3 linked regions of the Bombyx mori genome follow. The protein of the gene in region 1 binds, or shares a complex with, the protein of each later gene. Links are inferred from orthologs where the notes say so. Each region holds a gene or a part of one and is shown in the gene's direction. Other genes may lie near its edges.

Region 1 (4,251 bases):
CCACGTCCGATCCCCTCCGAAGTCAGAACCCGGATGAGGTAGGGGGGCTACCGCGGTCAACACTACAACCAGACGGCGTGGCTCACCCCAAGGACGCCCAGCCGACGGAGCCTTCGAGGCGAATCGAAGGCTCTGAAACGTCGGCCGTCTCGGTACGGCAGCCCGTCGGGCCGCCCAGACGGTGCCGCTGGTGTCCCGGAATACCCCGCTGGACCAGAACCAGCCTGCCGGGTCGGGACGCGATACACCGTCGACCGGTCGCTCTATTTACTCCACGGCAGCGCGCTAGAGTGCTGGTAGCGCGCCGCGCGGCCTCACCCCCTCAGGTCGCCCCTTGACCTTCACCGGGGGGAGGCCGCTACATACAGGGGCCGGAACGTACGGGCGTATTCCCGCCTCCGGCCCCCGGCTCGACGGCGACGGATTGGTGCGGAAAGGGAAGAGCTCTCCCTCTCTCGCTCCGCCGCCTCCTTCTGCGAGATGGTGGACTCGCAGAAGTCGAGCATCGCCTTCCAGGACGCGTCGCTGCCGAGCATCGTAGCCACGACGCGCGGCAGCGAGAGGTCCTCTCCTATGACCGCGACGAGGGCGGCGCGTTGCTCGTCGAATCCAGAGCAACGCGCCAATGTATGTTCCGCTGTGTCTTCCTCGTCGCGGTCCGCGCAGTGGTGGCACTGCGCCGTCGGTTCCCTTCCGGCTATCTTGAAGAGGTACCGGCCAAAACACCCATGGCCGGTCAACATCTGCGTCAGCCGGAAGGTGAGGCATCCGCGGGATTTTATAACCTGGTAACTAAGACTTTTAAGTCACATCTTATTTTGATTTATATTTCTTATTTTTATGAAAAATGATAATATGGAGTGAAATAAAATAAAATGAAGATGATTAATTTGAGACCTTAATCAACTGGGATGAAATTAAATGAAACAAGATGAGATGAGATGATATGGGATGAAATATAATCTTAGTAAAATGATGGTCATTTATTGAGATTTTTTCAGTGGACTTTTTGAAGGATTTCGAAAAGTTACGTCCAATGGCTTTGTTTTATTTTCCCACATTTGTGCACTTTCACAGATATTAAACAGTTAATAAGCCACCGTTATTACACATTTAAACCTGAAGAAACACTAAACAGACAAAATAAAACAAATCACACAACTTCACTCCTCCCGTTTCCGCGAAAAGTCCCTTATATAGGTAGGTACACTAATAATATAGCATAGATTTTTTTTTTGGTACAATTTTTCCTTATTAGGAAAGGCAAGGGGATCTAAGCCCAAACAGCCTTTACAGCATAGATTATACACGATAGTATGTACCTACACTGTAATAAAAATAAAACAGCTCTCGCATAATTGAGCTTTCTATTTTGTAGTTTTGACTTTATTAAATTTACTAATGGTTACTATACCAAATTGGTGCAAAATCATCATTTCGGTAAAACTATTTCCACAATACAATATCGGTGTACCAACTTGTAACAAACCAACAAATAACCATTATTGAAATCTGCGTCCTTATAGCGTTAAAAACAAAACAAAATGGAATGTTTATTGTTTATTTTATCATGTTTGTACTTGAATTCGATTTGCTTAAAATTACCAATATACAAATTTTAAATTTAGCTATCTTAGATGTGTACAATATAAACTTAAATTAATGGTACTACATACGTTTTATCTTGTACACATATTTTTATGTATTTACTTACTGTGAATGGAATGAAATAAGTACATTATTGTATTAAATCTCGCAACTTGTTTTGCCCCTTGTGAAAGGCCTTCTCCAAGTCACAGAGTCCTTTTTTATTTTACATTGGTGTCAAAAAGCTATCTATAAATACAGCCAATCAATGGAAAAAAGTAAAATAAGGAAGATAAGTTCTAATTACCTGCTAGACAGAGAACACACACAGAGAATTTCAATGTTTACTGTTTCTGTACAAATCTTGTCTTGCAATTGTACAGATTGATTCCCCTCAATGGTCATGTTTCCCCTCAAATGTTGAAGCTTATGTCTGAATTGTTCATTCTTCATGTTCACAGATCATCTATTCATTTACAATTATTTTAACATATAAATACATATATCATTTTATTAATGGAATAAAGCAAAGAACATCCAAGAAAGCTTTAAATAAAATTGAAGATTCATACTCTTCATTTGCTGTACTATAGACACTAACATAGTTTTACATGATTTTCCAGGTAATAGTGAGTATCAGCTGGATCCACACTATATATTTGAGTTGGAAACTATCGAATATTGTGAAATAATGCCTCTCACAGCTGACGTTGCTGCACAACAAGTACAGGTGTGAAGGATCAAGTGTGAAGTGATCATTTACTTAATTTTATATCATCATTTATAGACGTACAGATTGTAAGGAAACTATTAACAATTGAGCATTACTATTTTCTTATAATTAATACCTATGTAACCAGCAATGGGCCTTATGAGAAGGCTCAAGGTCACCCAAAGAGCAATGGAGAGGGCTGTGCTCGGAGTTTCCCTGCAAGATCGAATCATAAATGAGGAGACTTGCCGGATAACCATGGTAACTAACATATCCCAAAGGATTGCGACATTGAAGTGGCAGTGGGCAGGGCACATTGCTCGTAAAATGGATGGCCATTGGAGCCAAAAAGAAGATGTTACCAGCCAATAGTATTCAATGTACCTTTAACAAAACCAACTAATATTATGTTGTTTTTGTACACAGGAAAGATTGAGGTCATTACACAGATTGATTTATGATATAGAAGCGGAGAGGTCTCGCAATGAACAGTGCATAGATGCCATACTTAGAGCTGAAAAATCTACAGGATCTCCTTCGAGTGCTGATGATTCATCAGGATCTTCCCAACAAGTGATTATAAGATTTTTAACATTCAAATTGTTCAATACATTCATATAATGCAATAAAGTTCAATCATGAAATTAAAAATTTATAAAAGTACATAATAATCACCTACTTAGCTTCAATAACTTGAATACTTTTGTTGCGTCCATCTTCTTAAATTGTTTTTCAATTATTCTCACTAGGTTACACTTTATTATACAAAATCTGTATATCATGAAAATCAATTAATTAATAAATAATTAATTTTATTTAAAATATAATACTATAAGGTATGTAATTAAAATAGTAAATGTTCCAGTGGGTTTTCGGGAAAAGCTTAGAAGATACTCATCTTAAAATTGCTCTGTAATATTGGCCCAGACAGCTGACAGTCAATCCCATGTTACATAAGCTAATCGACACCACCACCACCCCAACAAACAAGAACTACTACTACTCATTGTATCTAATGAAGAAATGTTGATTGTTTTTTCCCGCTAATGGTTATTAAAATATTTTTGTTTAACAGGTTTCGCAGCTTAAAAGTTTATATAAATCGGGCTTAACAGCTGCCGAACAAGAGGAAAGACTACTTAGAGCTGCACTGTCAAGGATTTACGAAATACGTGCAATTAAAAATGAACGTCGAATTCAGGTATCAAATCATATTTATTGATGAATATAGGTTTGGTCCTGTAATATCTCACAGGCCTGTTCACATGCTAGGACCAGCATAATATGCCAGTGGCAGGCAGCGACAGTCAACAAGTACAAAGGCAATAAAAAAAAGTGTGTGTATGCAAGTCACACACGGTAGAAGCTAAACTTATAAATAAGATATAGATATACTGACTATCCCACTACACAGGAGCATACATATGGATAATGCTTAGTAGACGATAGTGGGGATGCTACGAAGAGTCGCACAAAGAGGAGACCGAGAACGTCTAATGTGTTCTATCTCATTCTATCGCCGGCTTAATCCTATACATTTATGTGTTTGTGTCTCTATGGACTAATTTTTTCGTTTCATCGACTTTGAAATCACGATTCTAAAGAAGATTCACTTCAATAAATAAAAAAAGTTTGGTTTTGAATCTGTAACGTAGAGTCGTTTCGTTGCGGCAGGCTCGTCACGCGGGTAACAAGGAGACGATCGGTTGCGGGGCGCTGATGAAGCTGCTCCTGAGTGCCGCGCAAACGTTGCCGCTGCACGTGGGGCGCGCGGGGGAGCGGGCGCCGCCGCTGTGCGGAGCGGTGCCGGCCGACGCGGGGCACGTCGCTCGACCCGGGGACGCCGTCGCCGCGCTCGTGCGGGTCTCCGATAACGAGGACAACTGGATATTGGCCGAGGTGCGTGTAAACAAACTTCCAATACACTGCAAACGTTTGGAGTGAACGTTATG
Region 2 (4,116 bases), on another chromosome or scaffold:
ATATTATTTAAATTTGTTGGTAAAAATCTAGTTTATTCATGATGTTTTTGTCTAGAACTTTTATTCAAAATTATCAATGTGTTATTTTATTGTTTGGTAAATATTTATATTATAAGTTAGGTACGTATTGTTTTCTATTTTTAGATATGCCTCGCGTGTACGTATCAGAATGCAAAGCCTTATAAAGAGATATGATCCCTTAATATTAAAAACAGCAATAGAAGCCTACGAAATTGGGAATAAGTCTTTAGTTGAAATAGCTAAGCAATTTAATATAAGTAAGTCGATTTTGCACAGACATGTAACAAGAACAATGAAATCTCAAGGTGGACAAAAATGTCTAAGTAATATATCATAACATATATTAATATTTGTCCAGAGTGGGGGTATCCACCTGATTAATCTATGGAATAACGGACACACCTAATCTCTTAACCCAGATAAAAATATCAGGCCCTAAGTACTTACTAAGAATGAAGAAATATAAACCGCTTATAAGAAAGCCCGCTCGTTCGAGTTTAGGCGCTTACTCTCCCTTAAACAGAATCCTTTGGGACTACAATAATGTCCACGGTAGCGCGGTCTCCGTCAATGCTCATTCGTAGTTGTCCGATTGCGCTGAACTAACTTTAAGTGATGAAATAGATGTTTTTCTAATTATTTCACAACTTACAGGAAAAAACTGTCGCGGATACTTTCCCAAGTAAATATAAATTAATCACAAATAATTAAATGTAATCAAGTTTTATATATTATATTTTTTTTATTGTTAATGCACTGTCGATTGCACCTATAATTGAGGTGACATCTGCCATGTACTTTTGTCAGTTTTTCAATGTTTTTTATTGATGATCACTTTGTTGGTGCAACTAAATAAATTAATTAATTAAAACCAAGTAGTGCCAACCCTAGCAAATTTCTCATTTCGTCCCAATTAACCGCAATTTCCGGGTAAATAGGGATTACACCTATTTTTGCTTTTTTTGCTTAAACTGGAATGCTAGTTGCATAGTTTTAAATTGGACAACAAAGATGCCCCCAAGACTCCATCATTTTGATCTTGATATAGCATTATATACATCAACAACTACCTTAAAATTGGTCATAAAGTTGGAATTTGTCCCTAATCGCCCCATTTTACCGGTATATCAAATATATTAAGTGTATAATCTATGCATATTATATTTGAGAGTCAAAGTTGGACTTTTTGGCGGGAACGCGAGGAGTGAAGTTGTGTGATTTGTTTTATTTTGTCTATTTAGTGTTTCTTCAGGTTTAAATGTGTAATAACGGTGGTTTATTAACTGTTTAATATCTGTGAAAGTGCACAAATGTGGGAAAATGAAACAAAGCTGCTGGACGTAACTTCTCGGATTCGTCCAAAAAATCCACTGAAAAAATCTCAGTAAATGACCACCATTTTACTGCGATTATATTTCATCCCATATCATCTCATTTCATTAAATTTCATGCCAGTTGATTAATGTTTCAAATTAATCATCTTCATTTCATTTCACTCCATATTATCATTTTTCATAAAATTAAGAATATAAAGTAAAATAAGACATGACTTAAAGGTCTCAGTTACCAGGTCATAAAATCTCTTAAAAAAAAGAGTAAAAGTGAAGACTTTTTGGCGGGAACGCGAGGAGTGAAGTTGTGTGATTTGTTTTATTTTGTCTATTTAGTGTTTCTTCAGGTTTAAATGTGTAATAATGGTGGTTTATTAACTGTTTAATATCTGTGAAAGTGCACAAATGTGGGAAAATGAAACAAAGCTGCTGGACGTAACTTCTCAGGTTCCTCCAAAAAGTCCACTGAAAAAATCTCAGTAAATGACCACCATTTTACTGCGATTATATTTCATCCCATATCATTTAATTTCATTAAATTTCATCCCAGTTGATTAATGTCTCAAATTAATCATCTTCATTTCATTTCACTCCATATTATCATTTTTCATAAAATTAAGAATATAAAGTAAAATAAGACATGACTTAAAGGTCTTAGTTACCAGGTCATAAAATCTCTTAAAAAAAGAGTCAAAGTGGCCCAAAGCATAGATTATACACTTAATGGCCCAAAGTGGCCCAAAGGCTACCACAAAAAAATAGAAGTGGGCGTTCATAAATTCGTTACCATGGGAAGTCCAGAGCGTGAACTTTGTCCACCACCTTCAGAAGAGGACGAACTGACTCTACCAAGAGCTAGTATAAATAAAATGATAAAAGAGTTAGTGCCTTCTGTTCGTGTAGCGTTCGAGTCAAGGGAGTTAATCCTAAATTGCTGCACTGAATTCATACATTTGATTAGTTCTGAAGCCAATGAAGTATGTAATCAAAGCAATAAGAAAACAATTAATGCAGAACATGTCCTTACAGGTATATATTTCACTATTGTTAAAAGACAATTAATATTATCATAAGGAACACGAACATATTTTTTTTACGAATTTAACTTTAAGCTTCAGTATCAAACTAATTTTCAGCCCTAGACAGATTAGGATTTAGTGACTACACAATAGAAGCAGAAGCTGTCTTAAAAGATTGTAAAGCAGTGGCGGCTAAAAGAAGACGACAAAGCACACGCCTTGAGAATTTAGGCATTCCAGAAGAAGAATTATTGAGACAACAACAAGAACTGTTTGCAAAGGTTTAAACAATTTAAATCAGTATTTTCTTAACCATTATGAAATTCAATAAAAATGTGTCTGTGGTCATGATTTTGAAATGAAAAAAATGAAGTAACAATCTTACCAAACCAATCAGACTAATCCGACATATGTAATAAACCCTATTTATATTATAGAGCAATTATGTTTCAATTCATTTAATGTAAACATTAGATGTGGATTTGTTGATCTTCATACAAACTGGTCAATAATAAATTGGTCTCTAATGTCATTTAAACAACATAAGGATGGGATTGTTATATAGACCATACAAAAAAAAACCAATTTGATTCAATTTAATTCAAAGTAATCACCCCATTTAAATGTCAGCTTAAGCTTCATACTTTAGTCCTTTCTACTCAGGAATGTACAGGAACTTTTAGAGAACACTTATTAACCTAACCCTTTGAGGTGTAACAGCAATCATGCAATACAAGCTGTTAAACAATACAATTGAGGCTTCAATCAAGGTTCATATAGAACAAACTCGAGTAAGCACTTTGTAATAACCTAGATGTTGTATTTCTTAAGCTTTGGGAAAATAAGTAGGAAAAAAGTGTTCATAAAAAAATATGGAATCGAGCAAGCCCCTGTATTTGATATCTTATTTTGTTAGATATGTTAACAGGAGACAGAGTATGATAAAACCACATTTTCATAATTACTTATGGTCAATATGAGAACCAATTGTAGATATTATTTTAATATAATTATATCTCATGGCAAATAGTTTGTGTATATACTGGTTTAACTTTTATGACTGGTTTAACTTAGTCCATGTGGTTTTCTTAATTTTTAATCATTAAATCAAATTTCTCTCCGAGAAATGACCTCTTATCCTTTTATATATCGACGCTTGAAAGGCAAATGTGACTAAGCGACAATGCGTGAACTTTACAGTAGACTAATTTAAAGTTGAAATACCTGACAACAAAATTTATTTTAATGAGTCTAGCTGTAGTAGAATCTAGCTAGTAGCTGTAGGATTGAAATTATTTTAATAGACCTAGAAATATATATTTTTTGCAAGTCGAATATGGTTATTGCCTATCATTTATGTACAAAGCAGTTATTGTCGCTTAGTCATGTTTGCCTTTCAAGCATCAATATGTTTTAAATTATATATAAAAAAAAATATTTTTTCTTATAAATCCTCCATTAAAATATACGTCATTATCTTATTGCCATCTAGTGGCCGACGCTCGTAAACAGAATGTGTGAGAAACGACCTAGCTCACTATCTCCCTCTCAAAGGTCTAGTGGTTTGCGAGACGATCTGTCTATTTTCTCATTCTCGCTCCTCTTAAATTGTATCTTTTCTCTCAAGCTGTAACGAAGTAACTGCCTAACTATCGTGAGTTAAATATTACTCTCAATGCGCCTAAAAAAATTCACTTTTAAAAAATACCCAATTTATAATTAAACTTTATTTAACACAGGCCCGT
Region 3 (3,379 bases), on another chromosome or scaffold:
TTTTAAAGATAGCCCAGAAAGTTTTTCAACTAAGCATACTTCACTCCCTTACAATTTCTACATCATCCATTTGCTACACTAGCCCTGTTTTAATGAGTTTTCTGAATTGCAATTTGCTGCTTACAGCCGGATGCTTCTTCAACTTGTCTCTCATTTTAAGATAGTTCTCCTTACCTATAAGTACACACCTAAGAGTTAAGTATGAAGTCGTAACAGATATTTAGCAGTGATACATAGTAAACGTTGACAAAGACATAAGTACAGATATATGAAAAAGTAGGAATGATCCTTCTTCTCGAAAAAGAGAAAATCGACTGCCCATAAATATATTTTTTCGATATTCGCTTTTTTTTTATTTTCCGTGTAATGTCACCAGCACCGACTTTAAAATACTTTTTTAATATCGATGCTTTGATGTCAAATGGAATGGATCGGATTGAAATGAATTTGTTTATTAACTGATATTGTCATCAATTTGCGTTGTTTCAATAGATTTTTTGGAAGAACCCGAGACGTCACGTTCAGCAACTTTATTTCATTTTCCAATAATAATGGATTTTCACACATGATATGATGATAACCTGTTTGCAAATGCATTTTGATTTGCTAATGTCCTAGATGGATTGGCTATTATAATGATAAAAAGATCGATTTAAACAGAAATCAATCCCTGATCACCATCCCTACTCACCGAGATATGTAGTTATTTTGAATAAAGTTATGTATGTATGACAGGGCAAGAACAAAAAAGGTAAGATCTTTTTGGCGGAACCGCGAGGAGTGAAGTTGTGTGATTTGTTTGTTAGATTTAAATGTGTAATAACGTGGCTTATTAACTGTTTAGTATCTGTGAAAGTGCACAAATGTGGGAAAATGAAACAAAGGCACTGGACGTAACTTCTCGGGATCTTCCAAAAAGTCAATTGAAAAAGTCTTAGTAAATGACCACCATTTTACTGAGATTATATTTTATCCCATATTATCCAACCTCATTTCATTTCATGCCATGTTTCATTAATCAACTTCATTTAATTACACTTCATATTATCATTTTTCATATAAAATGAATTATAAAAGATTAGGCTGTATGGTATGATACCATTGACTTTTCAGTTGAAAAAATAAAACTACTACTATTATGTAGGAACCGTACTTACTTAAATATTGTATTTTCTAAACGTTTGCTGAAATAGTAATCCCTAACATTACATAGTTTAACCGGTTTTACTAAATAGAAAAAAATCACTATCTTCTATTGTAAACCAATAAACAACTGATCTGTGCGTGAAGTTCTATCGAAATGTAGGTGTTTAGTTCTTTTGTTTTTGAATTTTTGAAGTTTGTTCAATAGGTAAGTGATAGTTAGACTATTAGGTTTTGTTTGTAAATAAAATAAAGGTTTTTAAAGTACTACTTTATTTATCTGACAAGTCGAAGAAAGAGCGCGTGCCGGCATCCCTTGTATTCGATGTCGTAGTACTTCTCATAAAAGTCTTGTATAAGTTCTTCAACCTGAAATAATGTCCAGAGATATACTACAAACGAACTGCGATTTGTGTTCAGAAGTCGCACACGAGCCTTTTATCGAATGTTGCGAGTGCGAAAGCAATGTTTGCACTCCTTGTTTTTCATCCGGCAAGGAAACAGAAATGCATAAAAATGACCACAAATACGCGATAAGAAGAAATGATTTTCCATTATTCGGTAATTGCAATTGGTCTGCTAAAGAAGAGTGCAAATTGTTATCAGCACTTTCTACATACGGATTCGGAAATTGGGAAGAAATATCTAAGAATGTGCACACACGTTCTAAACTCGAATGTCAAGAGCATTATAGGAAATATTACATAGAGAATGTGCAGTATAAAGAATTGAGATTACTAAAGGAAACACAACAGTCACTTTTTCCAATGCCAATTACTCCATACTTGTACAATACAGATGTAAGCACTAATCCGCCTAGAAATAACAGTTCAGATCAACATTTAGCTGGTTACAATACATATAGATCTGAATTTGAATTCAGTTATGATCACAATGCTGAAAGCATATTTAATATTGAAGACAGTTACTCTGAAGATGATGATGAGGATGAGGATGAAATGGACATGATGGATTCTTTAAAGGTGTCTTTAGTGAATGCTCTTAATACAAGATTAAGAGAAAGACATAGAAGGTATAAAATTATACAGAATCATGGCTTAGTAATGCCAAATAAGCTTTTCTCATGGATCCAAAAGTTTGACCTCACTATAACACGACAGAAAGCAGAACGATTGCTTTGCTTCATGCAGTTCATGACAGGAATACAGTTTGACGCTTTCATGGAATCCATGAGCTTAGAGAACGAGCTGTTACAGAGAATTGGACATTTATGTGAATACCGTAAGAATGGTATAAAAACTCTTTATACTGCCAAACTTTATAAGCAACTTAAAAAAGAAAATGACATAATCATGAAAGAACAAAAGTATGCTACATGTGTTATGGCCAAGAAATTTGAAAATCAATCACCAGTGAAGACTATGTACACAAAAAACCACCAAGTGCTGCGTTACAAGCGTATGGCAATGCCCTTAGAAATAATTGACTTGCCAGGTTTCCACAGGCTGAGTGAGGCTGAACAAGTACTATGTTCTAATTTGAGGCTTGTACCAACAAACTACTTGGAAATAAAAGAGCATCTTATAGCTCAGAACAGTAAGCTTGGATTCCTACGACTTTTAGATGCAAGGAAAATTGTTAAAATAGATGTAAATAAGACTAGGAAAATTTATGATTATTTGTTATATGAAGGTTTTATAAGTAAACCATTGTGACTATGACAAATTGGTATCATTTAACACCACATATGCTATGCTGAATTGCAGATACACACACTTGTCAACTATTTATCAATCGAAAATTATTATGCAACAAAGTATTGTTAGCCTGTGTGTATTTCTACCACTAATGTGCCTATTTTAGTCTTAAAGTATTCATACTTTCAATATAACTTGAACAGTGTGAGAGCAGTGACATTACAATACTTTGGGATAGGTGAGTTGGGTGTGAGCTCAGAAGCCCAACTGCAGAAATGAAATATTCATAGTTCACGTTGTCTGTTTGTCTGTTCTTTGTGCACAAAATGTTACTTTTGGATTCATTATCAACAAATAATGTGGTAGTGTAAAATGCGATGAAAATAGTTAGATACATAGATACATTGGTAATATGAGGTATGAGGTCAAAATTTTAGTAGCTTTGAAATAGTAGACTAATCTATGCATCAGCATGTTTCTGGCGTGAAGCAGTTTTGTAAAACTCCAGATAAGTTTACATAATAATTACAATACATTGAGTGATATTCATAATGTATCATAATATGCTGATAATACAT

Evidence for each region.
Region 2: SAGA-associated factor 29 (region 1) and protein Dr1 share a complex: the UniProt entries of both Homo sapiens proteins name them as parts of the ADA2A-containing complex. The link is inferred for Bombyx mori from reciprocal best matches to the Homo sapiens genes SGF29 and DR1.
Region 3: SAGA-associated factor 29 (region 1) and transcriptional adapter 2A share a complex: the UniProt entries of both Homo sapiens proteins name them as parts of the ADA2A-containing complex. The link is inferred for Bombyx mori from reciprocal best matches to the Homo sapiens genes SGF29 and TADA2A.

The regions. Positions count from the first base shown.
Region 1 is NC_085125.1:4,972,673-4,976,923, forward strand, and holds the start of SAGA-associated factor 29, read left to right. Parts: upstream 1-1,362; 5' UTR 1,363-1,401; coding exon 1,402-1,468; intron 1,469-1,529; exon of another isoform or gene 1,530-1,544; coding exon of another isoform or gene 1,545-1,572; exon of another isoform or gene 1,573-1,665; intron 1,666-2,210; coding exon 2,211-2,317; intron 2,318-2,725; coding exon 2,726-2,872; intron 2,873-3,374; coding exon 3,375-3,500; intron 3,501-3,973; coding exon 3,974-4,198; intron 4,199-4,251. UniProt on the Homo sapiens protein: Chromatin reader component of some histone acetyltransferase (HAT) SAGA-type complexes like the TFTC-HAT, ATAC or STAGA complexes.
Region 2 is NC_085110.1:7,486,965-7,491,080, forward strand, and holds the start of protein Dr1, read left to right. Parts: upstream 1-1,205; 5' UTR 1,206-2,140; coding exon 2,141-2,381; intron 2,382-2,488; coding exon 2,489-2,652; intron 2,653-4,110; coding exon 4,111-4,116. UniProt on the Homo sapiens protein: The association of the DR1/DRAP1 heterodimer with TBP results in a functional repression of both activated and basal transcription of class II genes.
Region 3 is NC_085111.1:1,075,880-1,079,258, forward strand, and holds transcriptional adapter 2A, read left to right. Parts: upstream 1-1,512; 5' UTR 1,513-1,520; coding exon 1,521-2,819; 3' UTR 2,820-2,829; downstream 2,830-3,379. Other genes in the region: cysteine-rich protein 2-binding protein, read right to left, coding at 1,420-1,512. UniProt on the Homo sapiens protein: Component of the ATAC complex, a complex with histone acetyltransferase activity on histones H3 and H4. Required for the function of some acidic activation domains, which activate transcription from a distant site. Binds double-stranded DNA.